Elephas maximus indicus: one gene and its partners. The protein of the gene in region 3 interacts with the protein of the main gene of each other region in a pairwise test. Links are inferred from orthologs where the notes say so. Each region holds a gene or a part of one and is shown on either strand. Other genes may lie near its edges. The genes, in order: CGGBP1, EXOSC5, REL and PGAP6.

What was found.
Region 1: the proteins of REL (region 3) and CGGBP1 interact in binary tests that used the Homo sapiens proteins (3 or more experiments, as listed by UniProt). The link is inferred for Elephas maximus indicus from reciprocal best matches to the Homo sapiens genes REL and CGGBP1.
Region 2: the proteins of REL (region 3) and EXOSC5 interact in binary tests that used the Homo sapiens proteins (3 or more experiments, as listed by UniProt). The two-hybrid records come from large-scale screens. The link is inferred for Elephas maximus indicus from reciprocal best matches to the Homo sapiens genes REL and EXOSC5.
Region 4: the proteins of REL (region 3) and PGAP6 interact in binary tests that used the Homo sapiens proteins (3 or more experiments, as listed by UniProt). The two-hybrid records come from large-scale screens. The link is inferred for Elephas maximus indicus from reciprocal best matches to the Homo sapiens genes REL and PGAP6.

The regions. Positions count from the first base shown.
Region 1 is NC_064836.1:60,696,637-60,703,869, forward strand, and holds the start of CGGBP1 (CGG triplet repeat-binding protein 1), read right to left. Parts: upstream 3,015-7,233; 5' UTR 2,407-3,014; intron 2,251-2,406; 5' UTR 2,047-2,250; intron 1-2,046. Other genes in the region: ZNF654 (zinc finger protein 654), read left to right, coding at 3,327-3,515. UniProt on the Homo sapiens protein: Binds to nonmethylated 5'-d(CGG)(n)-3' trinucleotide repeats in the FMR1 promoter. May play a role in regulating FMR1 promoter.
Region 2 is NC_064829.1:109,789,889-109,797,626, forward strand, and holds the start of EXOSC5 (exosome complex component RRP46), read left to right. Parts: upstream 1-4,733; 5' UTR 4,734-4,828; coding exon 4,829-4,976; intron 4,977-7,738. Other genes in the region: BCKDHA (2-oxoisovalerate dehydrogenase subunit alpha, mitochondrial), read right to left, coding at 4,227-4,394. UniProt on the Homo sapiens protein: Non-catalytic component of the RNA exosome complex which has 3'->5' exoribonuclease activity and participates in a multitude of cellular RNA processing and degradation events.
Region 3 is NC_064844.1:1,354,770-1,362,383, forward strand, and holds the start of REL (proto-oncogene c-Rel), read right to left. Parts: upstream 3,003-7,614; 5' UTR 2,665-3,002; coding exon 2,655-2,664; intron 1-2,654. UniProt on the Homo sapiens protein: Proto-oncogene that may play a role in differentiation and lymphopoiesis.
Region 4 is NC_064830.1:57,666,461-57,673,713, forward strand, and holds the start of PGAP6 (post-GPI attachment to proteins factor 6), read right to left. Parts: upstream 3,016-7,253; 5' UTR 2,925-3,015; coding exon 2,479-2,924; intron 2,386-2,478; coding exon 2,178-2,385; intron 2,100-2,177; coding exon 1,969-2,099; intron 1,780-1,968; coding exon 1,511-1,779; intron 1,435-1,510; coding exon 1,139-1,434; intron 819-1,138; coding exon 728-818; intron 649-727; coding exon 525-648; intron 256-524; coding exon 119-255; intron 1-118. UniProt on the Homo sapiens protein: Involved in the lipid remodeling steps of GPI-anchor maturation. Lipid remodeling steps consist in the generation of 2 saturated fatty chains at the sn-2 position of GPI-anchor proteins (GPI-AP).

The DNA of each region.
Region 1 (7,233 bases), on a different chromosome or scaffold from region 3:
AAGTTACTATTAAAATAACAATTAGGCCCATTTCTTGGTTTTTATGAAATTCAAATCAATTAGAATGAATAAAAAACTGAAACTGTCCCAGATACTACTATCTTTTAGGAAAACCCAATCATGGATCAACAGTTGGGGTGTTTACTAATCTTATCCAAGTTTAAAAAAGCTTCTTTCCCTTCATAACCCTATGACAACTGATTTCAGGAATAAAATTGTGGGGAATTGTGTACGAAGTTTGTTTAAACAGGTGGGCCACTAAACTGGCGTAATTCTATATGAACAGAATTTTCAAAACTGCTGTGATGACAAAAAAGTAAAAACTAAGAAACACAGACCAAATGGATTTAAATTTTAAAGCAAAGATAAAGTTCTGAGTAAGTTATTTTTTAATGCATTTATACCTCTCCTAAGTTTTCTAAAAGATTATAATCAAGATATGGAAAGTGTTTTTCTAATACTTCGTGTGTTTCTTTAATATTAACAATTACATGGCATTAATATTTACTTCACTTATTAACTAGTAAGTTAAAAGAAAAAAATCAAGAACTTAACCTAGCACCTACCATATGATAGATGCTCAATCAAAAAATGCTGATGGAAAAATCTTCACTATCCAAATTTTTATTTAACTCAGATGCAGCTTAATAATGTCTGAGTAGGTTCTAGCAGCAAACTTTTATGTTCATAGAACTAAGTGCCAAAATCATGTTACAAGCACTGAAAACTTGAGCTAATAAACACATGTTAGTCTGTGCCAAGTACTCAAAATCATTACTTACATCTTAGTAGTTACCTGGGGCCATGACTTCAGGCTAAGCACTTATAAATATTTACGTTAATCTAGGTTTAAGAAATTAAAATACATTTGATAGAACTAAAAATGGAATTCTGTTCTGTATAAACATACTTCCAATGTATGCTCTGAAAAACCACGCTTCTTAAGTCTAATCAGAAACAATGTAAACCAAAAACCAAACTCAGTGCCATTGAGTCGATTCCGACTCATAGCGACCCTATAGGACAGGGTAGAACTGCCCCATAGAGTTTCCAAGGAGTGCCTGGCAGATTCGAACTGCTGACCCTTTGGATGGCAGCCATAGCACTTAACCACTACGCCACCAGAGTTTCCAGAAACAATGTAGTACTCTGTGAATCCACAGTAGAGAGCAGCTAGCAAAGCCTGAACCTAACCAGCGGTGGCAGGAAGGCAAGGCCTGGTGATCTATAAGAATTACAGCCAGGACAAGCCTATGGAGCACTTCTCCTTTGTAACACCCGGGGTCGCCGTGGGTTGGAACGGACTGGACCACAACAGGTTTGTTTATAACATAAAATCTTTCTCAAAAGAACTTTAAGTTGCTAACACTTGTGGATACAAAGAATCCAGGGAATAACTCAATATTTCACAGAAATTCTGGCAAGCATGATAAATTCTAACATGTAAATACCCTGGGTTATGTTCTTTTCTTTTTTTTACTTTAGATTTTTTTCATACATGGATTTTATGTGTGGAACAATGTGATAGGCCATGGCTTTACAATGGCAGGCAAAACAAGTATGATTCTTGCATAGTAGTCAGTGAATTACTATTACACATATTTGTACTTTTACAGTATGTTTTATACTCCTACGGTGAGTCAATCCTAAATATGATTAATGGTTCTAATCTACTTACGCAAAACATCAAATACTTCTGTCCAGGGATAATTAAATCTTACTTTCTACATGAAAAATCTTCTGCCTCTAAATATTTAGCTTTTAAACTGTGAAACAATCAACAGGCACATAATTCCTTAATGTGTAAAATGCTCAATCCCATGTGCTAATGTGAAAGTTCTATACAATGTCTTTTAACTTCCAAAAGGTCAGAGAATGCACGGGTTTACATACTCAAAGAACAAAAGTGTTTTCAGCAAAAGATATATATATTTTTAAACAAACAAGGCCGTTAAAAAGTTAAGAGCAAGAATTAGACAACAAAAGAGAAGAAGCCAATCCTTCGCTGGATCAAAATAAAACTCATCGGAACTTGAAAATGTTTACCGGATTAGTTTCCAGTTGTTTACGTCCTGATACTTAGTAGTGAACGGTCTCCAAGCAAAACCAGAGGCGCATCAATCCCTGGCACCTTACGTTGGTTCAAACCCGGAGATGCCTCCAAATCAGTTTTTCAACAAGTGGTGATGGGGAAACAGTTTCTGGGCTTGCACCCTATTTTCCCTGCGGTACCGGAAAGTCATGCCTTTACTGTAAAATACGAAAAACAAATGGAAAGAAAAAATGGGGGAAGGGCAGGGGGAAGGAAAGAAAGGTGGATGAAAAGATGACCAGGAACGTCAACAACTACCAGGCAGGTGTCTCTAAAAACAACTCCCCACCACAAACCCCGATCCCAACGCTTACCCCACAACCCCGATCCCCAGGTCCCTCCAGCATCCTCTCGCGCTCCCCAGGCCCTGGGGTTCGAGCGGGGGAGGGAAAGGCGGGGCTCGAGACGTTCCCGAGCGTCTGACTCCCTCCTCCCGAGTCGAACCCAGCACGCCGGCGCCCCGCCGCCCCGGCCCCGCTAGCTGGGCAGGGCCGAGTCCCAGCTGCCCCAGGCCCGGGAACTCGACAGGAGTTGGCCGTAGTCTCACGGGAGGAGGCGGCAGGCGCCAGGCGGAGGCGGCCGCTGTCAGGCTTCCCGTCTCCTCCCTCTTCCTCCCGCCGACAACGGTGCCACGGCCCCGCCCCCAGCTCCCGCTTCGGGACGGAAGGCCCGGGGCCCACAGCCCGCACCAACGGCCGGGCCCACCCTCGGTCTCCCCAGCTCCTTGGTACCGTAGGATCGGGGCTGCCGCTAGGGGAAGTGGACGAGACACAGCCGGAAAGGAAAGGAGGAAGATAAGGAGCAAAGGGATGAGGAAGGAGGAGAACTAGTAGCTGCCGCCGTCGCCGCCGCCGTTGCCCGATCGAGCCCCGCCGCGGCCGCCGTGTCCCCCGCCGCGCCCCGTCCTCCTGCGCCGCCTATGGCAGAGCCCGGTAGGCGGGCCCCAGCAACCGCCGAGCGGTATTGACCAACGGACAGCGTCCCTATCAAACAGGCGGCTGACTTGACCAATGGTAGTGGAAAGGCGGGCATAAACATGACTGACTGCATATTTTACCAATGAAAGCTGGGGGCGTGGGTGGGCGGAGCCGGAAGTAGAGCCCAGCCGTGGGGCCCCTGTCCGGCGGAGGGGGGAGAGAAGGGGGAGGGAACTAGAGGAGGAGGAGGAGGTTAGCCAAGGCAGCTACAGCGGCGGCGGCGCAGGGGCTGGTACGCGCTGGGCGGCGAGAGCCTCATGGCGGAGGAAGAGAGCGACCAAGAGGCCGAACGCCTCGGAGAAGAGCTCGTGGCCATTGTGGAGTCCCCGCCGGGGCCTGAGAGGCTTAGAGCTGCGGGTGACGGCGGAGGCGGCGCTGGCGGCGGCAGCTGCGGCGGCGGCGGCGTCGGAATCAGCAGTCGGGATTACTGCCGACGCTTCTGTCAGGTGAGGCGCCCGTCGGCCGCCCCGTCTCGTCACCCCCGGCCAGGGCCTCCCTGCGTCTCCTGGCCATCTCGCCCCCTAGCCTGGGCTCTGTCCGGTGCTAGTTCTTCCAGCCCACGAGGAGGGTGAGGACGACGCTCCCCCCTCCACCTATCCGGCTTGGGGTGGGGGGTGGGGGAGCGGGACCGTGGTGACCTGCGGGCTTAGGGTTGTCGAGAAGTGAGGGTTTGTCAGAGGCGCTGGAGAGAGGGCGGCAGGGTCAGCTGGCAGGAAAGCTCTGTACTGACATGCCTCCTATGCCCCAGACAGACCCCTTCCTGCCCGAGGGTCCCGCCTTTCTTGTGTTTCCTACGCTGTTTTCCTCACCTCATTTGGACCCTCTGTGACATTTCCTGCTTTCCCTTCTCTGCCGCTTTCCCCAGGATTTTCCCCTTTTTCTGGGATGGAAGGCATGCCCTCTCTCTACTGCCCCCTCTCCTGTCACCGCCTCCCCTCCCCCTCTCCTAGGGTCTCCTGTCATCCCCTCTCAAGATCCCGTTGGGCCACTTCTTCGGTTGGCTTCAGTGTTGACCCACAGTGACTTGGTTACTTTTTGGGGCTGGAGGAGGGGTGGGTTAAGGCTGTGTGATTGTCATCTTTTCTTACTCGCTTCCTCCCACTTCCCCTAAACACTCACTCTCTCTCCTAATTAACTGCTCTGCAAGAAAGTCGTTTTCCTTAGACTATTGCTCTAGTTACATACCCTTGTCTTTCACGTTACAGTGTATTTTAGCCTTTGAAATACAGTGTTCGAACGATGACGGTACAATTTTTTTTTTCTTTATTCTGTCGACTGTCGATTTGATATAGCTTAAAGTATTTAAATGTAGTAAAATATTACAGCGCCAGAGTACTTATCTAGGGTAAAATTTGTGTAATCTGCATTTAAATCAGCATGTATTTATAATTTAAACGTTTTGTTCTCATACACAATACTCTTGTTTTGCAAAAGAATCGTTTCTTTCCCACCCTCCCCCCTTTGTTTATCATACGTATATTTTTTTATAGGGTTCAGACCCTGGCTTCACCACTTCCTAGCTTTGTGACCTTGGACAAGTTACTTAAACTCTCTATGCCTCAGTTTTCTCTTTTCATCTGGTAGGGATAGTAGGTAAATGAGTTTGAATCAGTTAGCTATTAATTTCATTCTGATAACAAGCAGGACTTAAAGTTAAGAAGAAATGGACATCATGTTCACTGACACTGGATTTTATGCCCTTTCCAGCATTTATAAAATAGCCTTATTTGTTCTTAAACTGCCTTTCAGGAAACAGTATAAGAGTAGTTAAAAGGATGGAGTTGACATTTTCAGTTAAGTTTTTAATGCTTTAGTTTAAATTGTCTCTTGATTTCATTTTTCTTTTGACCAGTGTCACAGTTAAGTTGGTTTGTAGGTGGAAACTGTTTGGTATGAAGTGTGTGTCCTTTTTCATTGATGCTGCCTTGTATTTGGTGACTTTCTTGAAAATGTATTTTATTTTTGGTATTGATATTCACTGGATTTAAAGGTTCATTGTTTGTTGAGCACTTGCTTTCTAACTATAGGTTTCACAACTACCAGTATGAGTTGCCTTGAAATCAGTTCTGACTCATGGCTTTCCCCAAACCATGCTATCAGTAGACTCAGTATCTACAGGCAATTTAAACTTCTGAAAATTAGGTTACATTTTTATCTTTTTCATATATTGACTGGTAGAAACTCTGTTTTTTTCTGTTTTGGTTTTTGTATTATAAATGAGCAGCTTGGTTTTTGGTTACATTTAGCTTTGTTAGTTTACTTGATCAGATGGTTATCTATATATTTAGTGAACTGTTACTTACCTAAGTGCGTATTCTCCATTTTATGATTATTCACAATTAAGTCGTTTATGGTTAACTGCTGTAGAATTTGAGGTTTTATTTGAGGGTCAAGTTTACTTGGAGAATTTTTACTACTCTAATTCTATTTTTTGAAATAAACATTAAGAACAAATAAGATTGACTATAAAATTCCACTACTTCCTAAATATCCAAGGACATAAAAGTAAACAGAACTGAAAGACTTTTCATTTTATATTGCTAAATTATGAGTGTTACACTGACAAACTTCCATGTTACCAACTTTTACCTGAAACCTTATGATGTCTAGGTTATCAATAGATCTGTCTCAGGGTTCCTGTCCTAGCACCATCTTGTATGTAAGCTTTGTGAAGCCCTTTTCTGTATTAAAACTTGTAGATGGAAAAAAAAGATTACCTTCATCAGTTGAATTTTGTCCACTGATTAATAAAATTCTAGTATAGTTATTCTTATAGGAGCCCTGGTGGCGCAGTCATCGAAGCTCTCGGCTGCTAACCGAAAGGTCAGCGATTGGAACCCACCAGCTGTTCCTTGGGGAAGGGTGTAGCAGTCTACTTCCATAAAGATTTCAGCCTTGGAAACCGTATGAGACAGTTCAGCTCTGTCCTATATGGTCACTAGGAGTTGGAATTGACTTGAAGACAATAGATTATAAAATTCTCAGTTTTATTTGACAATAAGGTTAGCAGTAGATTATAATGTAATTTCCAGTTAAAGATTGCTTCTTTTTAAACATTTGTGTCTTAATATTTATTGAGGGTAATATGAAGCAAGTTGCATTCATTAGTAAAATGACTTAATTGTGTAATCCTGAAATGGTTAATATGCACTTAGGTAGGTGACAGTTAACTAAAGATATGGATTATACAACTAGCCTTGAGTTGAGAAGAAAGGCTCCAGTTTGTCTTCCCTCTTTAGAGGGAAATATGAATCAAAATTTCTTGGCAGTTGTGTAGGTGAAGGAAGAGAGGAAGGAACAGTTCTTTTCAAGAGAAGTTCTTGTGTCTTTTACTACAAGGAAAAATAAAGCAGAAGACGAAAGAAAGATAGATAATATAAATGATACATTATACACACATCCAATGCATTCGATGATATACTTCTCTATTTGAGAAACATTACCAGTAATTGTAAAATCTCAGGTAAAAGGAGTAGTTCCCTAGGCTTAAATGATTTTTGAGACGATAGATGTAGGAGATTGAAAGTGTTGATTTCCGAATAGTTAAATGCTGTTGGTAATGTTGGACTGGCCGCCCTTATCACATTCTCCCTTGGCTGTTGTTAGTAGACTCTCAAAAAATGTTTCAGTAGAATTAGCCCCTGATATTTCATTATGCTTTGAGGATGAAAAGATGGGAAAAATAGTTTATCGAGAGTTTACTAACTCTTAATGTCATTTAGGTAGGCCAGAACAAATTTAAGTTGTCTAAATTCTGTTAGGTGACAAAGCCCTTTAGGTAGGCCAGAACAAATTTAAGTTGTCTAAATTCTGTTAGGTGAACAAGCTGGGATTTGAACTCATCCTTCAGTTTCTGTTGAAAGCCAGACTGAGATTACAAATAAATCCTCAAGTAATTATAAACTGAATTAATTACTTGGCAAGGTGGTGCAAAGGGAATAAATTTACTGGAAGTACTCAGGGAGTCATGGAGGAAACAATATAAAAAGTACTCTTTCATTATTCCAGAGTTGTAAAAAATATTTCAAGAAACAGATAATTATTGTCTCTCTGACTTGTAAGGTGTTGTGAAGATTTTCTTGAGTCCTGAAGGTTGTAATAATTTAACTTATTTTGTTGCTATATAAGTATATTGAAAAAATTTTTTATAATGGGTTGATTGTA
Region 2 (7,738 bases), on a different chromosome or scaffold from region 3:
TGAACTAAGCAGGATGTTGCAAGACTTGAACTTCAGCCCTATCCTTTCTCCTCCTGGCAGCCTGGTACCATGACAAGGAACTGGGCTTTGGCGTCCAGAGCTCCAAGTTCACACCTCTCTGAGCTCAGGCTCCTCACCTTTAACAGAAGGGTACTACCAGTACATCCAGTGCCCATGTTGCTGATGCTGCTATGCGATGGTATTTCAAATACCAGCAGGGTCACCCATGGTGTACAGGTTTCAGCAGAGCTTCCAGAGTAAGACAGACAAGGACGAAAGGCCCGGTAATCTACTTCCAAAAATTGGCCAATGAAAACCCTATAGATCACAACAGAATATTGTCCAATAAAGTGCTGGGGGGTGATCCCCGAGGTTGCAGGACACTTAAAATACACAGCGGCCACAACAATGGACTCGAGCATACCGAAAAGTGCAAAGATGGAGCAAGACCGGGCAACATTTTGTTCTCTTGTACGTGCTGTTACCATGAGTCAGAGCTGACTCAATGGCAACTAACAAGCACCAAAACATCCCTTAAAGTGCGGCTGTATTAAATACAATAGTGGGTGGGAACTGGCACTGTCAATCACAAAGTACTTCATGACATGACAAAGGGCCTGGGTTCCTTAAGAGATCTGCCAACAGGGAGATGGACCCGTACGGTTAGATCGGTGATGACCGGTTCCACTCATCCCACAATACACACTGGGTACCTACCACTTAGAGGTACTGCACAGGGCGCTGAAGCCCCTGGACAGGCTGCCCTTGACCAGCAGATTGCAGAGATACCCGTAAAGTTACTGATAATGAGCACACACCAAGGCGCTCCCTGAGTTTGACAGGATGACTCCAGTCATACCACTTGCTGGACTCAGAGGGGTGAAGTGGCTTGGCCAAGGTCCCACCTGCTTCCTGGGCCTGATCAGGGGCCTGGGGTAGTGGCTCAGAAACTGACCCCTGACTCCTTGACAAGTGAGTTTCCTTCCTCCTCTTCTCCCTGAGCACTGAAGCAGCTACTATCAACAGGTAGGGGAAGGGAGGTGGGAATCGGGTAAACACCCCCAAGGCAACATAGCATACCACGGAGACTGGGAGAAGGGCAGGCAGGTAGGGAGGAAATAAGGCATCCCCGTCCCTCCACCCAACCCCACTGGCCCCTATAACCCAACCTGTCTCCCAACCTTTCCCCAAGGTGCTATCATCTTGGCTCCACCTTAATCAGCTGAAAATGGACTGTTCAATACAGTAGCCACTAGCCATTTCTGGCTATTTAAACTCATTAAAATTAAAGCTCCAGTTCCTCAGTTGAACCAGACACACATCAAGTGCTCAGTAATCACATGTGACAGTACAAATACAAAACATTTCCATTATCACAATTTCTACTGGACAACCCTGGTCAAAATCCTTTTTCACTAAAAGCTACTGCCCCTTCACTCCACTTGAATTGAAAAAAAAAACAAAAAACTAATCTAAGAACAGGTAGAAAAACTAAAAGGTGGGAGGGGTGAGGAATCTAAAAAAAATAGAAATAAAAAACAAGGACTCTGGAAGACACACACACACAATGAACGAGGAGCAAGAAAAGTAGACAGACTGAGTCAGAAGGGAAAACAGAGTTAATCAGTCACAAGTGACCTTTCCCCACTCTTGCCCCAATCTGGCCCATGTCCAGCCTCCCTGGCCCAGCCAATGGGCTACTGGGACTGAGATCAGGCTGTGGGAGAAGTGATTGTTTAAAATCAGCAGAAGAGAAGAGCCCAAGGCAAGAGATTGCCTCACTCTGGATCCTGCAACAGCAACCTTTTCACTTTTACCTGCTTCAGGTGGCTCCCTTCCCAACACCCATGCCTCTCCCCCAGCCAATCCTCTTCCCCTACCTCCCGTTTCTCCCCCTACCTCCCGTTTCTCCCCCTATCCAGAGCTTCTTCCTACAGATTCCCTCTTCCTTTCATTACAGATAGGGAATCAGAGGGTCAGACCCAACCTCTCAACATCTAGATAGATTTCTCCCCAGGGTCCTTGCCTGTCCAGACCCTCCCAAAGTCACCTCCTTCTTTCCCTCCATCTCCAAAGTCGGTTTCTGTCCCTCCCCTCCACCCTTACTTTCAACAGCAGCCAAGATTCCTACTGCTTTTATCATAAGCTAGGCCCAGTTCTTAGCACTTTACACATCTAATCTTCAAAGCAGCCCCATGAAGTGGCCACTCTTAGTATCACCCCTTTACAGGGGGAGAAACTAAGGTCCAGAGAGGTGCAGTACCGGGCCCAAGGCCACACAGCTGGAAAGTGGCAGAGCAGGGCTATGAACCCATGTGGTCTGGCTCCAGGACCTACCCTCTTACCTACTACTCTCTTATTTGTGGAATTTTAGTTCAAAGCTCTTCTGAAGCCCACTGTCTCTCTCCTCTAAACTAGATTTCTGCAGCATGAGCTTACCCTTAGCACCCACCCTAAGAAATTCTGACCCTTAAGAAGTTTCCCGAATAAACCAAACGCTTCGAAGGCCAGTGTAGCAGGGGACCATGGTTTCAGGAGACATCTAGGTCAACTGGCATAATAAAATCTATTAAGAAAACATTCTGCATCCCACTTTGGAGAGTGGCGTCTGGGGTCTTAAACGCTAGCAAGCAGCCATCTAAGATGCTTCAATTGGTCTCAACCCACCTGGAGCAAAGGAGAATGAAGAACACCAAACACACAAGGTAATTATGAGCCCAAGAGACAGAAAGGGCCACATAAACCAGAGACTATACCAGCCTGAGACCAGAAAAACTAGATGGTGCCCGGCTACAGGCGATGACTGCCCTGACAGGGAACTCAACAGAGAACCCCAAGGGAGCAGGAGAGTAGTGGGATGCAGACCTCAAATTCTCCTAAAAACACCAGACTTAATGGTCTCACTGAGACTAGAAGGACCCCAGAGGTCATGGTCCCTGGACCTTCTGTCACCCCAAGACAAGAACCGTTCCCAAAGCCAACTCTTCAGACAGGGATTGGACTAGACTATAAGATAAAAAATGATACTCATGAGGAGTGAGTTTCTTGGATCAAGTAGACAGATGAGACTATGTGGGCAGCTCCTGTCTGTAGGGGAGATGAGAAGGCAGAGGGGGACAGAAGCTGGCTAAATGGACACAGAAATAGAGAGTGGAGGGAAGGTGTGCTGTCTCTTTAGGAGGAGAGCAACCAGGAGTACATAGCAAAATGTAAGTAAATTTTTGTATGAGAGATTGACTTGATTTGTAAACTTCCACTTAAAGCACAATAAAAATTAAAAAAAAAAATCCTGACCCTTTTGACAAAGAACAAAGCATTTCTCCAGTGTCTGTAAGAAATGTGGGCAAAGTGCACTGTTCAGATCCCTCTCTTCTATCCTCCTCATTAACTCAACAAATATTTACTGAGCATCCCCTCTGTGCACTGACTAGAACAGACAAGGTCCCTATCTCGACATTTGATCAGGGGAGAAAAGAATTAAAACGACTTTTTCACACGATTCATTTTCATATGAGAATTGTGGCAAATGCAACAAAAAGGGTCGCTATGAGTAGGAACCTACTCGAAGGCAATGGATTTGGGCTTTTTGGTTTTATAAAAGCCCAAAGGAGCCCTGGTAGCGCAGTGATCAAAGCGCTCGACTGCGACCCAAAAGGGTGTCAGCGGTGCAAACCTACCAGCCGCTCCGCAGGAGAAAGATATGGCATCTGCTTCTGTAAAGATTACACCCTTGGAAACCCTATGGGGCAGTTCTACTCTGTCCTGTAGGGTCGCTATGAGTCGGAAACAACTCGATGGCAACGGGTTTGGTTTTGCTTTATAAAAGCCCATGACAGGGGGATCTGGTCTCTCCTTCCTCTTTTATAAAGGGAATTCTTTACCCAAAAGAAAGACCTTTCCTTACTAAGGCAGTTTCATTCCCCAACCTTTGAGGGGAACTGTCTCGCCTTCCCCCATCCTTCCAAGCAGACGCGCTGGGGGTGGGGCACAACTCATAAGGAGTTCTCCTCCCTCAGAACCCACGAAGGGGCTGCCTCGCTTTTCTTCGCCCAAGGAAGTGGAGGTTCTTTCCTTGAGTGTCCTCTCCACGTGGTTTTCCCAGCCCTTGTCCTTTCCCTGACTGTCCTTTCTTCACTCTCTGCAAGCACCTCACATTCTGAATGAAGACAGCGTCTATATGCCTGTTCCCACTTAGAGAAAACTCCTCGGGGGCCCCAGGTACTCACAGAGCAGGCCACTCCCCGAGCCCCAAGTCGCCTCAGAAGCAGTAGGCCGGCCCTGCCCAGGCCTCGACTTGGCCCCCAAAACCTCGTCGCAGCTACCGCCACCGCCATCTTGGCTAACAGCTGCTCCTTGGCTCTCCTATCGCCTCGGGTCAGGGGCTGCCACTTCATGAGCCTGACTCTGCTGCCTGCACCACCCTGCCAAGAAACCACCTGCTTCCGCTTCTGGCGACGCTAGGACGCAGAGATGAGTTTACAAAACAATACAGCTTCCTAAAAAAGTCTCCGACCGCCTTACTGCTGTTGCTTCCGTAACAGGCAAAGAAGAGGGCTACCTAATCATAGCCTCAGGGTTTCAGGGCCCGGGGGCCTCGGGAAGAAAGCGACCATGCCAGGCTCCGCCCCTTCTCCGCTGTCCAATGGCTTCCCTGGAGTTGAGAGGCGGGGGTGGGCGGGGCCAGAGTGTTGGTAAACGCTGAGCCACGTGCAGCCGCCAGACGCAGCGCCGGGAGATGGGCGCGTGCGTACTGGATGGGTAGCTTGTACGCAGGCGCGCATGGCTGGGCGGAAGCTACAGTGGCGGACTGCACGTGGAATCCCAAGTGATGGAGGGGGCGATGCAGGTAGACACCCAGATCCGTACTGAGCCTGGGGCTGAGGCTGGCCCCGGGGGCCCCGGCTGCAGCCTCCGACACTTTGCCTGCGAACAAAATCTGCTGTCCAGGCCGGATGGCTCAGCCTCTTTCCTGCAAGGTAAGAACCCAGGTCAATACTGCCCGGGAAGAGTTCGCGCATGCGGTGTTTGTTTTTGGCGGGGGACGGCTACAGTGTACCGTGCAACGAGGAGTCCCTTTTCCCCACGATACTAGCTGGTAAGTGTCTCCCTTGTATTGTGTCTCCCGCGTGGATACTGGTTAGGCCGGGATAGATCTCTCCCTCCCGACTAGAAGTGGGAAGGTATCTCCACCCTCGTAAATACTTTGCAGGATGAGGGAAGGGCAGTCCTCCCCATAAGAATGAATACTCCAAAATAGGGAAAACTTTCTCATGGGGTAAGTAACTCCCTGTAATAGATTCGTCCTTCCTCACCCCACACACAGCCCGGGTCCATATATTCCAGGCTGAGGCAAACCTCCCATCTGTATAAATACCCCATAGACTGGCAGATCACCACCACGAGCTAGACCGTAGCTGTGGCAGCCTTTTATCCTAATAATTACTGCTGGGTTAAGAAAGATCTCCTTCATCCCAGCTCCACCAATTGTGTCAACACCCCTTTGACTGGGATACACATATCTGCATATGAGTAAAGATTGGGGCGAGTTATAGTTATTGGACGAATATTTTTTTCCTTGAGCTAAATACTTCTTAAGTTAGGCCTGACTCCCTGACCAAAACTGATTAAAAAAAAAAAAATCCCTGCTCTCATAGGGTTTACATTCTAGTGGGGGAGACAAACAATAAATAAGAATAATAAGTAAAACATATAGTAAAATGCTATAAAAATAAAGTAGGGAAGGGGAATAGAGTGTGCTGCAGAGGACTAGAATCTTAAATAGGATGGTCAGAGAAGGCCTCACTGAGGAGGTGACATTTGAATAAAGACCTGAAGGAGGCAAGGGAACAAACCTGAAGATCTCAGGAGGAAGAGTATACCAGGCATGGGGAACAGCAAGGACAAAGGCCCTGAGACAAGACCTTGTTTGAGGAACAGTCAGGAGGCCAATGTGGCTGGAGCAGCAAGTGGAGAGGAGTTAGTGGGAGAGGGGGTCAGAGGGTGGTAAGGAGAATTGCTGATGATATAAGGTCTAGAGAGTGAGATGGGAGCCATTGGAGGCTTTGAGTGAAGGAGTGCCATGGTCTGAATATATGAACAGTATCACTCTAGCTGCTTGCTCTGTTGACTGGAGGGAGCATAGTAGGGAGGAGGTGGTGATGGCTCAGACCAGGGTGGAAGCAGTGAGAGCCTAGATGCATTTTGAAGGTAAAAACCAACAGTATTTGCAGATGATTTGGTTTGGAGATACTAGAAAAAGAATCAGGGAGGTTTGAAAGCCACTGTTCTAGTCAAGCTTTGGGCTTTTCTCCAGATCAGCTGTGACAACAGAAGATAAGTTCAGTCTGGAACGTTATGTTTGCAATACCAGGAGTCCCTGGGTGGAGCAAACGGTTAAATGCTGTGCTACTAACTGAAAAGTTGGGGTTCAAGTCCACCCAGAGGCACTCAGAAGAAAGGCCTGGTTTTCTGCTTCTGAAAAGTCAGCCACTGTAAACCCTATGGAGCACAGTTCTACCCTGACCCGCCTGGGCTCGCCATGAGTTGAAATCAACTCGACTGGTTTGGGGGTTTTGGTATTAAACATCAGAGTGGAAATGTGCAATGGGCAGTTGTTGATACAATTCTGGAATTCAGAGGAGAGAGCCAAGTTGGGCATATACGCTTTGGAATCCTCTGGCTGTAGATGGTGTTTAAAGCAATCGATTGGATGAATCACTCCTGAAATGAGTAGAGATAGAAATGGGAAGAGGTCCTGGACTAAGCCCTGGTCTTCAGCTTTGAGAGTTCATGGACATGTGAGGAATTAGCAAAAGAGACTGAGAAGGAGCAGCCTGTGAGGTAGGAGAAAAACCCGGAGAGGGGGCGGACCTGGAGCCAAGAGAAGAACGTGTTTGAGAAGTAACGGTAGACAGCCTTGTTGGTCCTACTGAGAGGCTGGGCCACGCGAGCACAGGAGACCTATGGGTTTGGCAGTTTGGAGGTTCGGGAAGGTGACTCTGCCAAGGACTGCTTTAGTGGAAGGATGGGGTCCAAAGCTTTGTTATTCGGTCAAGGAGAAGAGGAGGAAGAGACAGGGAGTGAAGGCAAGTCTTGGGGAGTTTTACTGTAAGAGCATCAGATAAATGGGGCTGTGGTTGAAGATGGGAGTCCCCGGGTAACACAAATCATTCACGCTCTCAGCTGCTAACCGAAAGGTTAGACTTTTGAGTCCACCCAGAGGTGCCTCAGAAGAAAGGCCTGGTGACCTGCTTCCCCAAAATCAGCCACTGAAAACCCTGTGGAGCACAGTTCTACTTGCCATGAGTCAGGACCAACTCCACAGCATCTGGTTTGTTTGGGTTTTTTTTTTTTTTTTTGGTGAAAGTTGAATGTGCGGTGGAAGGAGGAGAGAATCGCAGGAGCTGGGTTGCTTGAGGGAGCCCTGGGGGGCATGGTGGTTAAACCACTTGGCTGCCAACCAAAAGGTTGGCGGTTCGAACCTACCAGTTGCTCTGCGGGAGAAAGATGTGGAAGATTTACAGCCTTGAAAACCCTGTGGGGAGGTTCTCCTCTGTCCTGTAGGGTCGCAGTGAGTTGGAATCAGCGTGACAGCAGTGGATTTTTAGGAGCTGCGTAAGAAGGTGCAGGGGGGCACAGGCAGGATATCCAGAGTAACGGGCATGAAGACCTTCCCCGAGGATCTAGCCTACTCCCCTAACAAACACCTTCATGGCTCCCCTTGGAGTAGATTTCCTGG
Region 3 (7,614 bases):
ACTGGATTACATTTTAAAATAACATATTTTAAATAGTCCTATTTTAATCTAACTCGTGAGAAAATGTTAAAAAAAAAAAAAAAAGTAAGATAATCACTTTTCAACTTCCAAACCTCCAAAACTTTAAAAGTTTCCTCCCTCCAGTTTAGGGAATTCTTAGTCCTCATAACAGCAGAAGATATAATGTCATTAAACAAATTTAAATTCCATCACATTTTAAAATCATGTGGGTCTTAGAATGCTACTCTATAGAGAATTAATTTTTTTCTCTTGCAAGAGTTAGATCACAATATATTCATGCAGTAAATTAGTAAAGTTTGATTAAATCGACATCAGGCTGACCTTTTCCTTGTAATGCTTGTCATTCTTCACCACTTCCATAAAACATCTTTCTGATAACCAATAAATTAACCAAATATTTCAAAGTCATCTTTGTGCTTTTAATCTAAATGTGCTTTGAGTTTATGAACTTAGAACATTAACTGAAAGTTCGGGGTCACTGAAATGGGTAAAGGGAAAGTGGAGAGTTTTAAACCATATTTGTGTTCTCACAAGAAAACCACAAAGACAAACTGAAATCAAACGTCACATGAAACACCCCTATTTCCTTTTCAGCTTAGAGTAGTGGCTGCAGCACTGTTCTGCTCAACCCTTTAAAAAGATCCTTTAAGTTTTCTACTTCCTCTTCTGTTAAGTATCAGCCTGGACTTAGGGTCACGGAGCAGGGGGTTGGGAGGCGGGGTCAAGCGTAAACCAACGGGTCTCCAGTCCCCTGGCCTTGCACTGCAGACGCCCTCGCCCACCCCACAGCACCCCCCCATCCCGTTCCTGCACGGCAGACGCCCTCGCCCACCCCACAGCACCCCCCCCATCCCGTTCCTGCACGGCAGACGCCCTCGCCCACCCCACAGCACCCCCCCCATCCCGTTGCTGCACGGCAGACGCCCTCGCCCACCCCACAGACCCCCGGGCCCCGTTCCTGCACGGCAGACGCCCTCGCCCACCCCACAGCACCCCCCCATCCCGTTGCTGCACGGCAGACGCCCTCGCCCACCCCACAGACCCCTGGGCCCCGTTCCTGCACGGCAGATGCCCTCGCCCACCCCACAGCCCCCCGGACCCAGTTCCTGCACGGCAGACGCCCTCGCCCACCCCGCAGCCCCCCGGACCCCGTTCCTGCACGGCAGATGCCCTCGCCCACCCCACAGCCCCCCGGGCCCTGTTCCTGCACGGCAGACGCCCTCGCCCACCCCGCAGCCCCCCGGGCCCCGTTCCTGCACGGCAGACGCCCTCGCCCACCCCACAGCCCCCCCGATCCCGTTCCTGCACGGCAGACGCCCTCGCCCACCCCACAGCACCCCGGACCCCGTTCCTGCACGGCAGACGCCCTCGCCCACCCCACAGCCCCCCGGACCCCGTTCCTGCACTGCAGACGCCCTCGCCCACCCCACAGCCCCCCGGACCCCGTTCCTATACTGCAGACGCCCTCGCCCACCCCACAGCCCCCCGGGCCCCGTTCCTGCACTGCAGACGCCCTCGCCCACCCCACAGCCCCCCGGGCCCCGTTCCTGCACTGCAGACGCCCTCGCCCACCCCACAGCCCCACAAAGCTACCGGCAGGCGTCCACTCCCGAGAGGTGAGCCCTGCAGAAGCTGCAGGAGCTGGTCTGTCTCCAGCCGTCGCTTAAGGGCTTGGGGTCCGAACCCCCTTCCCTCCTGCCCCAGGGGAAAGCCGACCGGGAGGGGGGCACCCGGCTTCGCCCTCGGATGTGCTCTCGGGGCGCCTTTCCGCCGCGACACGGGGGTCACCTGGGGTGGAGGCACCTGGGGTGGGGTCACCTGGGTGGCAGCTCCCGGCGACACGGGGGTCACCTGGGGGTGGGGTCACCTGAGGGGCAGCTCCCGGCGACATGGGGGTCACCTGGGGTGGGGTCATCTGGGGGTCAGGTCACCTGGAGGGCAGCTCCCGGCGACACGGGGGTCACCTGGTGACACGGGGTGGGGTCACCCGAGGGGCAGCTCCCGGCTACACGGGGATCACCTGGGGGTGGGGTCACCTGGAGGTGAGGTCACCTGGGGGGCAGCTCCCTGCAACACAGGGGTCACCTGGGGTGGGGTCACCATGGGGTGGGGTCACCAGAGGGGCAGCTCCCTGCGACACAGGGGTCACCTGGGGTGGGGTCACCATGGGGTGGGGTCACCATGGGGTGGGGTCACCATGGGGTGGGGTCACCTGGTGACATGGGGGTGGGGTCACCCGAGGGGCAGCTCCCGGCGACACGGGGTCACCCCGCTGCTGCTCTGAGGCAGGAGCCACCATTTCACCACGAATCCCCCCGAGAACCCCCGTCTCCCTTCCGACCACCGCCGCCCCGATCCCAACACCAAGCCGCCGGCAACTCCTAAGGTTCCAGCTGCAACAATGGGACCCAACTACCGAGCGAGCTTGTCACTTCGCACGCAAATCCTCAAGCAAGTCACTTTTCAAAGGGCGGACGGTTTGCCGGCTGACGCGATTTTAAAGACTGAACGCGCCGCGGCCAAAGCCCGGCAGACCGAGAGCCCCCGAAACCCGGGTAGCAGCCCCGGGGCGACCTTTGCCCCCGACCCTGCCGCGGGGACCTCGGCCCTCGCTCCCCCCCGGGAACACTCACCGGAGGCCATGGTTCCGCTCACCGCGCCGCCCCGCAGGCAGCTCCAAGCGTCCGGGCCGGACGGCGCCGCGGCCAGGGAGCGCGTCAGTCAGTCAGCCGGTCGCGGCCCTCTGCCGCCGGGACCCCAGTTTCCCTGGCCACTCCCGGGCCCTCCTCCTCCTTCCCGCCCTCCTCGGCTCTGCGGCTCACACCTTCCCACCTCCTTAGCTCTCGCGCTCCGGTCAGCCGGCGTCGCCCGTCCAGGGTGCCGGAGCGCGGTGGGAGCCGAGCGCCCGCCCGCGGAGAGGCAGGCAGCCCGGCGGGAGGGGGATTTCCCGCCGCTGACGTAGGCCGCTCGCCACCGCGTCCTCCGGGGGCGGGGGGCGGGGCCTCCGGCGGCCCGCGCGCGTCCGCACGCCCCTGCGCCCCGTGCGCGCGCCCGCCCCCGCGCATGCGCCCCCGAAGGGCTGCGGGCCGGGGGAGCCGGGAGCGCAGGATCCTGGGGAGCGCAGGGGACGCCGGGAGGCGGAGGGGCCGGCCGCGCGCCGAGGCCGCGGGCCGCCGAGAAATCCCCCTCCTCCGGGTTGTTCTGCCGAGCGTGGTTTAAAGTTCACAGGCGGGTGGGAGGGAGCGGTGACGTCGGGAGGCCGGCCTGCCGGGGCGCTCGGGGCGGGCCGGCGGCTCGGGGGAGGTGGGCCTGGGGTTTTCGATCGGTGCTTCCCCCTTTTCCCGCTTTCGTACATGCAAATGGCCGCCCCCGGCCGGCGGTGAGGCGGCGCGTCCTGAGGCGCCGCTGAGGGGTGCGGCCGCGGCCGGCGCCTCTGTTCTCCGTGCGGGATCTTCGTTTGCGTGGGGCTCCCCCGCAGTGTGGCTTCCCCCTCTGTCTTTAAGCTGCGAGGGCACCGAGTTGACTTTACGAGTTTTACCCACGAAAACCTTTCGAGTCAGAGTCCTGCGCCGCGATTTCGTGCTCTGGGGAGCAGTTGCCCCGTCGTTACGTGTGGAAGTTGAGCGAAAAACGAGTCGCCGTTGGGTGGACCCCATATCCTGGGATTTAACGGAGAGGCCCAGCAGGAAGGGGAGATGGAAAACCATTCGGAGTTGAAGGAATCCAGTATAGCTTTGTGTCCCGCATTTGCTGAGAGCCTCCTCCGGGCCAGATAGTTTATCTCACCTGTGAAGTAGTAGTATCCTGGTTTTAGAGATGAGGTGCGGGGTTCAGAGAGTTAAGTAACTTGTCCAAAGGCCAGAATGCTGCTAGAAGGAAAAAGAATTTATACCTAAGGTAGTCTGAATCCAAACCTTCATGTTCTTTCCACGCTCTCCCCCCCCTTTTTTTTTTTAATTTTAAATTGTGTTTTAGGTGAAAGTGTACAGTGCAGATTAGTTTTCATTCAAAAAATTTATACGCCAGTTGTTTGGTGATGTTAATTGCAGTCCCCACAATGTGTCAGTACTCCCCCTCTTTCCACTCTGGGCTCTCCATGTCCATTCATCCAGTGTTCTGTTCCTTCCTGCCTTCTCCTCTTTGCTTTTGGGTAGGTGTTGCCCGTTTGGTCTCTATACTTGACTGAACTAAGAAACACATTCCTCACATGTGTTATTTGTTTTATAGGCCTGAAAGGTGGACTTCAGGAGTGGCTTCAGTTCTGAGTTAGTCCTCTCTCTCTTATTGCCTCAAATGTATGGAGTTGGAATAGAGAGTATCAGCCTAGAGTAAGTGTTCTAAATGGGAGGACCCTATTTGGAAAATTAAAACCTGCCAACCCCAGTATCCTCCTACAAAATAGAGAAGACTGTAGCACTTTTACTACTGAGTAAATATTAAATCACACTGTGACATGCATCATAGGCAATCTGCTGAAGAGACTGCAAAGACAAAAAGGTTTCACCCTTCTGTATAGCCAGACAGATAAAATCCATTACATACCTGTTAATTGTCTTATCCTAAATATTAAATCACACTGTGACGTACATCATAGGCAATCTGCTAAAGAGACTGCAAAGACAAAAAAAAACTTCACCCTTCTATATAGCCAGACAAATACAATCCATTACATACCTGTTAATTGTCTTATCCAAAAGGGGGAAAAAAAAGCAAACAAAACTTTTTCTATCGTTTCAGCAATAGGGAGTTACATCTTGGAGCCAACCCCTTTGGCTTAAACTCCTACAGAGACAGGAAGACTTGGTGCTATCCTCCTTTATGTTCCTATTTCAAAGAAATGCCTTCAAGGCCACCAAGAAAGACCTTCTTTGGATCAGAACTGGCCAAGAGGATTAAAAGGATTCACGTATTTCTCAAAGAGTTAGAGAAAGCATTTACAAATCAAATTTTCTAAAGAAGAGGGGGGCGAGGGGAAGGTCTCTGTTTTTTTTGGCACCAGGGAAGTTTTTTAATTAAAAGTTTTTCTTAGATTTTATTTATCCTCATAATCCCAAATGTCAGAGCTGTAAGGGCAGACTGAGCACAGATGTTTAAGAATCGATTAGAAGGGTGAGAGACAGATAGGAATGGAAAATACTTTGTGTTTTTTCATATTCCACCTGCAGGAATTGATTGGTTTTAGGTGTTCCTTGAACTTAATGGTATTGTTGGTTCCATAGATTCAGTAGTGACGGAGAAATTGATGATGATTGAGAGAAAGGGGGTTAATTACTTGAATGAGGAAGAGAGACAAGATGAAATCCAGGGCACAGGTGAAGGGCCACCAATTGGAATGGAGACTTTTCTTCTGTGGGTAAAAGAAGGAAGACAGAGTGGGTGGTTACAGATGCACAGAGCCCAGTATACTTGGTGGTACCAAGACGGGGTACTCAGTCAGATTGCCTTAAAAAAAAAATGAAGTATAAGGTGAAGGGCAGAAACTGAAAACATGGTCTCTGAGAGTGAAGTTTTAGAAGGTATACCTGGCTGTATTGAATCCCCATTTGAGATTTGTGGTCATAAATATCAGACCAGTCAGTTGTTAGGTGCTGTTGAGTCGGTTCTGACTCTTAGCGACCCTGTGCACAACAGAAGGAAACACTCCCCGATCCTGAGCCATCCTTAAAATCGTTGTTATGCTTGAGCTTATTGTTACAGCCACTGTGTCAATCCACCTCATTGAGGGTCTTCCTCTTTTCTGCTTACTCTGTACTTTGCCAAGCATGATGTCCTCCTCCAGGGACTGATCCCTGCTGACAACACGCCCGAAGTATGGAAGACGCAGTCTCACCATTGTTCTAAAGAGCATTCTGGTTGTACTTCTTCCGAGACAGATTTGTTTGTTCTTGTGGCAGCCCATGGTATATTCAATATTCTTTGCCAACACCACAATTCAAAGGCATCAATTCTTTGGATTTCCTTATTCATTGTCCAGCTTTCACATGCATAGGAGGCAATTGAAAACACCATGGCTTGGGTCAGGCGCACCTTAGTGTTTAAGGTCACATTTTTGCTTTTGAACCCTTTAAAGAAGTCCTTTGCAGAAGACCAGTCAGTACAATATTTCTTACATAGCCCAAGGAATAGCAATGAGCAATACTGTCTTGAAAAAGAAGACAAAAAGGTAGGAAAAGTTAGGTTGGATGGGAGGGAATATGTATAATACCTAAGCGTCTGAACCCGCACCTGTTCCCTAGGTGATCTCATCCATTCTCCTGATTTTACCCATGGACCCAGGACCATATATCCAGCCTGAACCTCTCCTTGGGCTTCAAACCCTTATATCCAGTTGTCTGCTAGACACATTCACTAGAAGTCCCGTAGGCATCCCAGCCTCAGCCTACCCAACATCTTCTCTCCTAAAGCTGCTCTTCCTCTCGTGTTTTCTGGGCTCAGAAACATAGGCTAAAACTTTGGAGCCGTCTCTGCCTCCTTTCGTTCTCACCACCCTCTCACCTACCCCATGATTTTACCAGTCAAAGAGGAACCCGTTCGCTCTCACTACTGTCACTGCCCTTGTTCAAATCATTCCTACCCCCATGACATCCAGTCACCAAATCCTGCTGATTTTCCCAGTCAAATAGGAAGCCATTCCTGTTGTCTCGTGACTGCCACTGCCCTTGTTCAAATCATCATACCCCACCTGAACTATTAGAATACTCACCTATTAACGTCTGTCTACATTTTTGCCCCCCCCCACAAAACCATTCAGACCTATTGTTGCTTGAGTCATCTGTATGAGCGCACTTCTGACCATATCACTCTCGTGCTTTAAAACCATCAGCAGCATCCCGATCCAAATACCAACAGCTTGCTTTAATGAGATGGAAAAACTAGACATTAACTTTATATGGAGAGGAAAGAGGCCCTGGAGCAATAAAGCATTATTGAGGAGGAACTACAAAGTAGGAGGCCTCGTACTGCCTGACCTCAGAACCTACTATACAGCTGTGGTAGTCAAAATAGCCTGGTACTGGTACAATGACAGACACATTGACCAAAGAACAGAATTGAGAACCCAGATGTAAATCCATCTACCTATAGTCACCTGATCTTTCACAAAGGCCCAAAGTCCATTAAATGGGGGAAAAGACAGTCTTTTTAACAAATGTACTGGCAAAACTGGATGTCCATCTGTGAAAAAAAAAAATGAAACAGGACTCATATCTCACATCATACACAAAAGCTAATTCAAAATGGGCCAAAGACATAAAACCAAAAACTATGAAGATGATAAAAAGAAAAATAGGGTCAGTGCCAGGGGCCCTAATATACATCATAAATGGAATACAAACCATAACTGACAATATACAAACACTGGAAGATAAGCTAGGTAACTGGGATTTTCTAAAAATTAAATGCTTATACTCATCAAAAGAGTAAAAAGAGAACCTACACACAAAAAAGTTTTGGCTATGACAAATCTGACAAAGGCCTAATCTCAAATATCTACAGGAAACTCCAACACCTCTACCACAATAGGCAAATAAATAATCCAGTTTAAAAATGGGCAAAGGATATGAACAGACACTTCACCAAAGAAGGCATTCAGGC
Region 4 (7,253 bases), on a different chromosome or scaffold from region 3:
GCCAGGAGGCAGGCTGCTCTCCTCCTGGGGTGCCACACTGTGCCTGTGCCAGTGGCCGTGAGCAGAGGTGGGGGGCTGGGAGGACGCCTACCCCCCCATGCCTTCAGCTAGCCCTTACCAGCTTTGCAGCTGCAGCCTGCATACAGGTAGCCGTGTCTGCGGAGCAGAAGGCACTGGCCGTAGGGTCCACAGTCGTTCACACAGGGCACCAGGTACAGGGTCATCTCTACATGTACCTTGTCCTGCTCACACTCCCTGTGGGGGGACACACAGGAAGGCAGGCGGCTACCTGTCAGTGTTCCTGCAGACCCATGGACCCCCGAACCCAGAAAAAAGCCCCACGCCCATCCCTGGTCTGACAGTCTGGAGCCGTAAGCTCTGCCTCCCCTCTCCCCACGAGGCCCAGGAATCCCTCCAGGGCTCCATGCTGGTCCTGGGGCTGCTTCAGGAATGACCAAAGGGCAGGCAGGTGGCCAGCCCCAGTGACGTGGCAGTACTCCCCCCCAGGCCCCAGGTTCACTCACTTGGGGTTCTTGGGACACATGAGCTGCAGGGATAGGTACCAGTTTTCTGTCTCTGGGAAGGGGACTATGAGGTTGGCCTGCCGGGATGTGGCGCTCAGGGTCAGCGGGTGGCCCTGGAAGAAGGCTGGGGGAGGAAGGCCTGGTCGGCGGAGCAGGCCAGAGTACTCGGCCTGGAACCACTTGCCGCCCACCAGCCCACACACCTGTGGTACAGTTGTGCGAAGTATTAAAGCTGAGGAAAGGGGAGGCGGCATTCACGCAGGCCACCACCAAAGTGCTGTTCTTGACCATGGTCTGGAGGAAGGTGGTCAGAGTTGGCCCAGGCCCAGAGCGACCCAGAAAGGCAGCGCTGACGTCCACCTGAGGCCACTAGTGTCTGCCTGGGATACCTGCCTGGAGCCTGCCTCTCAGATTTCAGCCCACCCCACTGCCCCAACTCCTCAGGTGTAGCCCGTCCCTCCAGCAGACCCCCATCTGGCCCAACACCTGGCTGGTGTCACCTGGTTGCCAGAACCCTGTCTCTGTGGATAAAATCAGCTTGAGGCAACATTACCCCAGCCAGAGCCCCTGTGGGCCCAAGTCATCCACAGACCAGCCCTGGGGAGTAGGGGTACCTTGTTAGCCCGCAGTGAGATGGTGAGGGAGCCTCCGCTGTCCATGCCCGTGTTAAGGTACAGCTGCAGCACAGAGGGCACGTCGGGCCACACAACCACAGAGACCCTGTCCAGAGGCCGGAAGCGCACAGACACCACATCCATGTCTTCCCGCAGCACAGGGTAGCTCATGAGGCAGCAGGAGTCACTTGCTCCGCCACTATGGTTGGGGTCCTGGGGGCCATTGGAGACATTATGGCTCTGGTTGGGGCTGCCCTGTAGGTGGTGCTGGGTGCTCACAGTCCACGGCCTGCAGGCTGCCAGAGGACAGGGTCAGCTAAAGATGCAGCCAGGGAGAACCACCCCTGCCTGCCCGCCACCCATGCAGCCCACCTGTGAGGGTGGCCACGGCATTGAAGGCCACCATGACGTGGGGCCCCACCAGGCTCTCAGCTGTCACCTGCAGCCACCGGTCCCAGGGTGGGGAGTGCAGCAGCAGGCGGCAGGGCAAGGGGTGGCCAGTGCAGCTGAGCACCCTCCGGAAATCACTAGGCAAGGTGACCGAGCCCACGGCCAGGCGCACAGGGCAGGCCTGGCTCCCGTTGGAAGCACAGTCCTGCAGCTCAAGCAGCAGCTCTTGTGTGAACTCAGGGATGAAGACCCTGCAGGAGGATGGGTGGCTCTGGAGCTCCCCCCAGGGGGTGGAGGGTAAACAGGCAGGGCGATGTCAGGGGCCAGACGTCTGCCCACTCTCACTCCCAGAGAGATTACTGGCCAAGGCGGTGCCACCCTCTCCCCCATCTGCAAGGGTTCAAACATCCCCACACCTGCCTCCCCAGCCCCTGGCTCACTTGAGGTAGCTGGAGCGTGAAAGAAAGAGGGTCTGTGGTAGGGGCATGTCAGGCTCCAGCACAGAGATTTCAGCTGCCCGCAGGACCAGCATGTCTGGCTGGAAGATGTAGGCACAGGAGGGGACGAAGCCCTGGACAGAGAGTCAGGTTGAGAGGCAGGAGGGCTGGTTGCCCATTCGGCAGCCAGAGCAGGGGAAATGGTCCCTCACCTTCACCTGGATCTTCTCGGGAGAGGGGGGCAGGTGGGCAGCCACAAACCAGTCCCCAGATGCTGGATGGGAGACGTTGACAGAGGCGTTGCTCTGTAGCATCGCACTCAGCAGCATTCGCACTTGGAAGGAGGGTGGCACTGAGGTGTTGTCAGGGAAGCTGGTGTTCAGGGGATTGATGACTGGAGGAGCGCCATAGCGGAAGTGTCTAGGGTGGGACAGCAAGGTGTCAGGGTGCAACCTGGCCAGCTTGGGGTGTGGGCTGGCTGTTGGGGCACAGGCAGGGCAGAGAGGTGCATACACAGTGATCTCCACATCTGAGCACAAGGGGCCACTGCCCCGGGACACTTGCAGCAGCCAGCGCAGCAGGACAGTGGCTGGAGGCACCCGGAAGCGGAAGAGCCTGGCGCTGCCGTACCAGCTGTAGAAGGAGAGCTGCTGCGGGGTCTGTGAGAAGAGCTCAGACACGAGCCACACATCTGCAGGGACATGTGCTGCATCAGCCCGAAGGCGAAGATGACGTTGGCAAGATCTCTGCAGCCCTCTGGCCCCTGGCACTGTCTCTGGCTGGCAGAAGCCCAAGATGTTAAGTGTCCCCTCAAGCCCCCCATCCCTGCGCAAAGTCTGCAGATCCAAAAGCAATGCTCCACCTGGGGAGCAGCGTACCTTGTTGGCCCACATGGCCCCCTTCACAGCCTCAGACTCAGAACATCTCAGCTCTCTCTGCCTCTTGCTCCAGGTGCTCATCTCCCTCTCCCTTCATCTCATACCCATGTCACAACTTCCAGAACAACCACCTGCAGCCCTCCCAGCACCCACCCCTTAAAAGCAGGGGTAACCTCAGAGACCCTGGCTCCCAGTCCGCCCCAAGCCCTGCTCCCTCCCTGCATGCCAGCCCCTGGCTCATGTTAAAGAATGTGGCATGGTCATGGTGAGTCCTGTCCCTCCTTTCATCTGCCCTGGGCAATGGGCTCCAGGAACTCCCCCCCCAGAACAGGCACTTCCTGGGCACTCTCTGTACTCGGTGGGGGTGGGGTGGGGTGGGGGGAGGCGGTAGCCAGTCAGGCCTAGGATCTGGCTCTATGCCTCATGCCCAAGTGACCTTGGGCCGTGCCCTCCCCTCTCTGGGCCACCTGAGGTGAACGGCACCTCCCTCCAGCGCGCCTCCCTTCAAGGCTAAAGAGCTTAGGGCAGAAGCAGGAAGAAGTACTGTGGACGCAGCAGGGTGCGACGGCTCTCCTTTAAGCTGGGTGCCCCCGGCCCATGGCTGCCAGGTAGCCTCCTTCTGTCCACAGGGGAGCTGCAGGCTCAGGACCCTCCAGGGGAGCACGTGAGGGAGCCAGACGACAGCCAGTTCTCTTGCCAGCCTCATGACCACTCCCTCCCCCCAGTGGAGGAACTGGAGAAAAGACAACAACAGCCAGTGCCAGCTCAAGGAGCCCACCAGGGGGGCCGCCAAAGCCACAGGCCCTGCCCACCAGGGTCCCACACATCAGGCCGGGCACCTGGGCACTCCTGAGGCCACTGCTGCCCCCGTGATGACATGATGGCACAGCTAGAACCTAAAGTGCTGTGGTTGGGGCAGACCTCCTCCACCCTAGACCCCAGGACCTCTGGGGGGCTGAAACTTGGCTGCCTTCCATCCCCCAGGTGGAGGGGACAGGAGCTTCAGGAACAAGGCCTCAGGCCACTTCAGCTTGGAATACTGTGGCCTCCTAGCCTGACCAGCCTCAGAGTATACCTGGTGCTCAGCTGAGAGCTCTAGCTGGTACACCAGAGATGGGCTCCAGGACTCCTAAGCCTAGCCCCCATTCCCAGTGTATAACATGGCCTCCCCTGGCTTTCCAGCCGAGATGCCCACAGTTATCTTGGTGAGCATGCCAAGTAGTTACTGAATGTGGAGGTCACAACTCTGACCCCAGGGAAGATGAGGGGGACCATCCTGCCCCACCTACACTGGCCTCCAAGGACACAGGTTGAGGGCTGGAGGGAGCAAGGAAGAAAGTCTTAAGCCGTTCCTGGGATGCAGAGTGAGGGGAGCCCCAAACCAGGGCAGTCTGCTGGGAAAACCTCCCAACCACAGACCCCAAAAACATGGCACCTGGGCAGGCAGAGGCGGAAGGGGCTGAGGGGCTCAGTCCTCTGGGAAACCTTTCATTTCAAGCTGTACCAAGCTCAGCACCAGAAGACACAACCTCAGAAGAAACAGGAGCTCAAAGGAGCAAGATTTCAGAGAAGGCAGGGGAGGAGCCAGGACCCAGAAAGTTGGGGCCCTAAGCAGAGAGGCCCTGGCCATGTTGTATGCTGGGAATAGGGGCTGGGCTTGGTGGGCTTGGGAGTCCTCTAGCAGGTTTCTTACCTCTGGTGTACCTGCTGGAACTCTCAGACTGGCCTCCCTGGAGCTGCCTCTGCCCCCACCGGCTCCCATCTGGGTCCATCCAGCCTTGGGGCAGGAGGCAGGTACTCATCATCCCATAGGTCCAGGGAGATCCTGCCCCATGCAGAACTCTGAGGGAATGGCACCCCCCTCCAGCCACCTCCTTGGGCCTCAGTGTGGGTGAACTCACTCGGGGACAGAAATGCCAGGCACCCAACAAGTTCCCAACCTACTCTCCGGACCTACCCTGGCCCACGGTGTTCCTTGGACAGGGCCGCCCAGAGTCCAGCAGGGCCTCCAGAGAAAGTAACTAGGGTCGCAGTCGCCCTGAGTCCGGGATGGACCTGAGCTCTTCACTCTTTAGCTCCTGCTCTGGGGTCTAACTGAGCAACTTTCTCCCATCTCCGCCCCACTCCCGGGCCAGGTGGGCTCTGGAAGCCGACTGCCTGGTTCCTTCCCGAGCGGGTCTCCAGCTGAGTCCCAAGCTGAGTCCTCTGGTCCCCTGCACCTCGGTGCCGGGCGCCTACCCCCAGGAGGAGGGCGGGAGGGCATGTTCGGAGCGGTTCGTCGGCCCAGCCGGGCTCTGGGGACTCAGGGTGCTCGCTGAGCGTCCTTTCCACCGCGACCGCTTGGACGCGGGGTGCCCCAGCCAGGGTGGGAAGCTCGGCCCTGCGCAGCGCCGGCGAGCGCACAGGTACCTCCAGGTGAGTCACAATCCCGGCCCCACCCCGCCCGCGCCTCTGAGATGGCGCTCCCCGCCTGCCCCGTAGCTCACCGCTCCTCCGGCTGTCGCCCGCGCCGGCGGGCGGGGGCCGAGCGAGCAGGAGCAGCAGCAGCAGGAACGGCCCCGCTACTGCGGCCGCCGCGCCCCCGGCCCCGGTGCCAGCCCGGCCCATGGTTCCGTGCTCCGCCGGGGCTACCTGGACAGCGTTCCCGGCCGCCCGCCCCCGCCGCCGCCCGGGCAGCCGCTGCCGCCACGGCGGCTACAGCCACCGCCTCCGCCGCCGCCTCGGGCTCTGCTCCGGGCTCCCATGGTCCCGGCGGGTCCCGCCGCGAGCGCCCCGGGTACTTCCGCCTGCGAAGCCCCGCCCCACAGGCAGCCCGGTCCGAGGCGGGCGAGGGGCAGGGGGGAGGCAGGCGGGGAGGCCGGGGACATGGGGGGCCGGCGGAGAGCGCGCGCAGAGGTGGGGGTGCGCCGGGCGGGAGGGTAGCGTGTAGGGAAGCGGGTCAGAGGGTGGCGCGGGTAGAGGGCGGACAATGACCCGGCGCGCGGTTTGGGTAGCAGGGAGGGATGGGAAGGAGGGTCACGCAGTGCGCGCGAAGGAGGTAGAACAGAGGGGGCCGCTTGGGACGTGGGACTGAGGGGGGTATGGAGCGGGAATTGGAACGCACTGGAGATGCGAGAGGAGAAGCACCCCAAACGCTTCCTTCGGGCGCTGCGAGTCCACCGGGCAGAAGGGTCTGTGAGTTCGCGTGCACCCCGGCATAAGGACGGCGGAGTAGGATGTGGCGGTCTCGTGGAGGCCCGTGGAGGAACGGCAGCCTCTACCCGGGACCCGACGGAGTTGCCCCCACCCTTCAGCGGAGTTCTGCTCCGCCCTCGTAGACCGGGTTTTAGACTTCCAGAGCTGGACTACCCAGGGCTGGCCTCCCGCGCCCTTCAACCACAAATCCTCTAGGCGTGTGTTCGAAACGCACACCTGTATGGGAAGATGAAAGAGATGTATGCACCTGTGGGAACTTAGTACACATCAGTGAGTGGGACTAACACCCGTACACCAGGGTAGATTGCAAATTGCTTAAAGATTTAAGCAAAAAGAAACGATAAGTCAGGATAAAACTTGGGGAAACTTTTTCAGCCTTGGGGAAGAGAAAGCCTTTCTAAGTATGACACAGAATCCTGAAGACATCAGAGGCAAGACTTAGAAATTCAACCTTGTGGGAATCAAAACTTTCTGCAGAGCAAAACTAGCATTAAAAAAAAAAAAAAAACAGTGCCATCGAGTCGATTCCGAGTCATGGCGACCCTATAGGATAAGCAAAGTAGAAACACAAGCCCTAAACTGGGGGGTGGAGGATGACAAGCTTGTGACTCTTACCACAAACGGCTAATTTTAATAAAATTAAAAAATGAAGATCTTAATAATAAAGCAGTCCTACAAATCAATAGAAAAATACCAACACTCCAAAATAAATAAATAATTAAAGGTTACAGTTACAGAGTTCCGGAAAAGGATATGCAAATGTTAGACAGGAAGGTGTTCAGCCTCGCATCTTAAAACCAGTGCCATTGAGTAGATTCCGACTCAGAGTAACCCGCCCATCTTAGAAAAATGCAAATCACAACAAATTGAGGTGCCTTTTTATTACCTTACAAATCGATGGTAGACCAAAGAGTGATCACACTGTATAGGCCCACAGATGTTATAGTGGGGATGTGGTTAGGATGAACCTCATGGAAGCCTCTGACACATCTACCCAAACAACCCAATACTGGTAACACAAATACCAAAATAACCCAGGCTGTGTGAGCCCACACCCATGCATTCTCCCTGCGGATGCATTCACGGATTGTCTGACACAGCAACATCACTGCAGTGGGGAGGAAACACGCAAGTGCTGGCCGTTAGACAACTGGGCATTTGCGTCATGAGTTTCCATCCCATGAGATAAACACCATGATAGAACGTGGCTGCAAA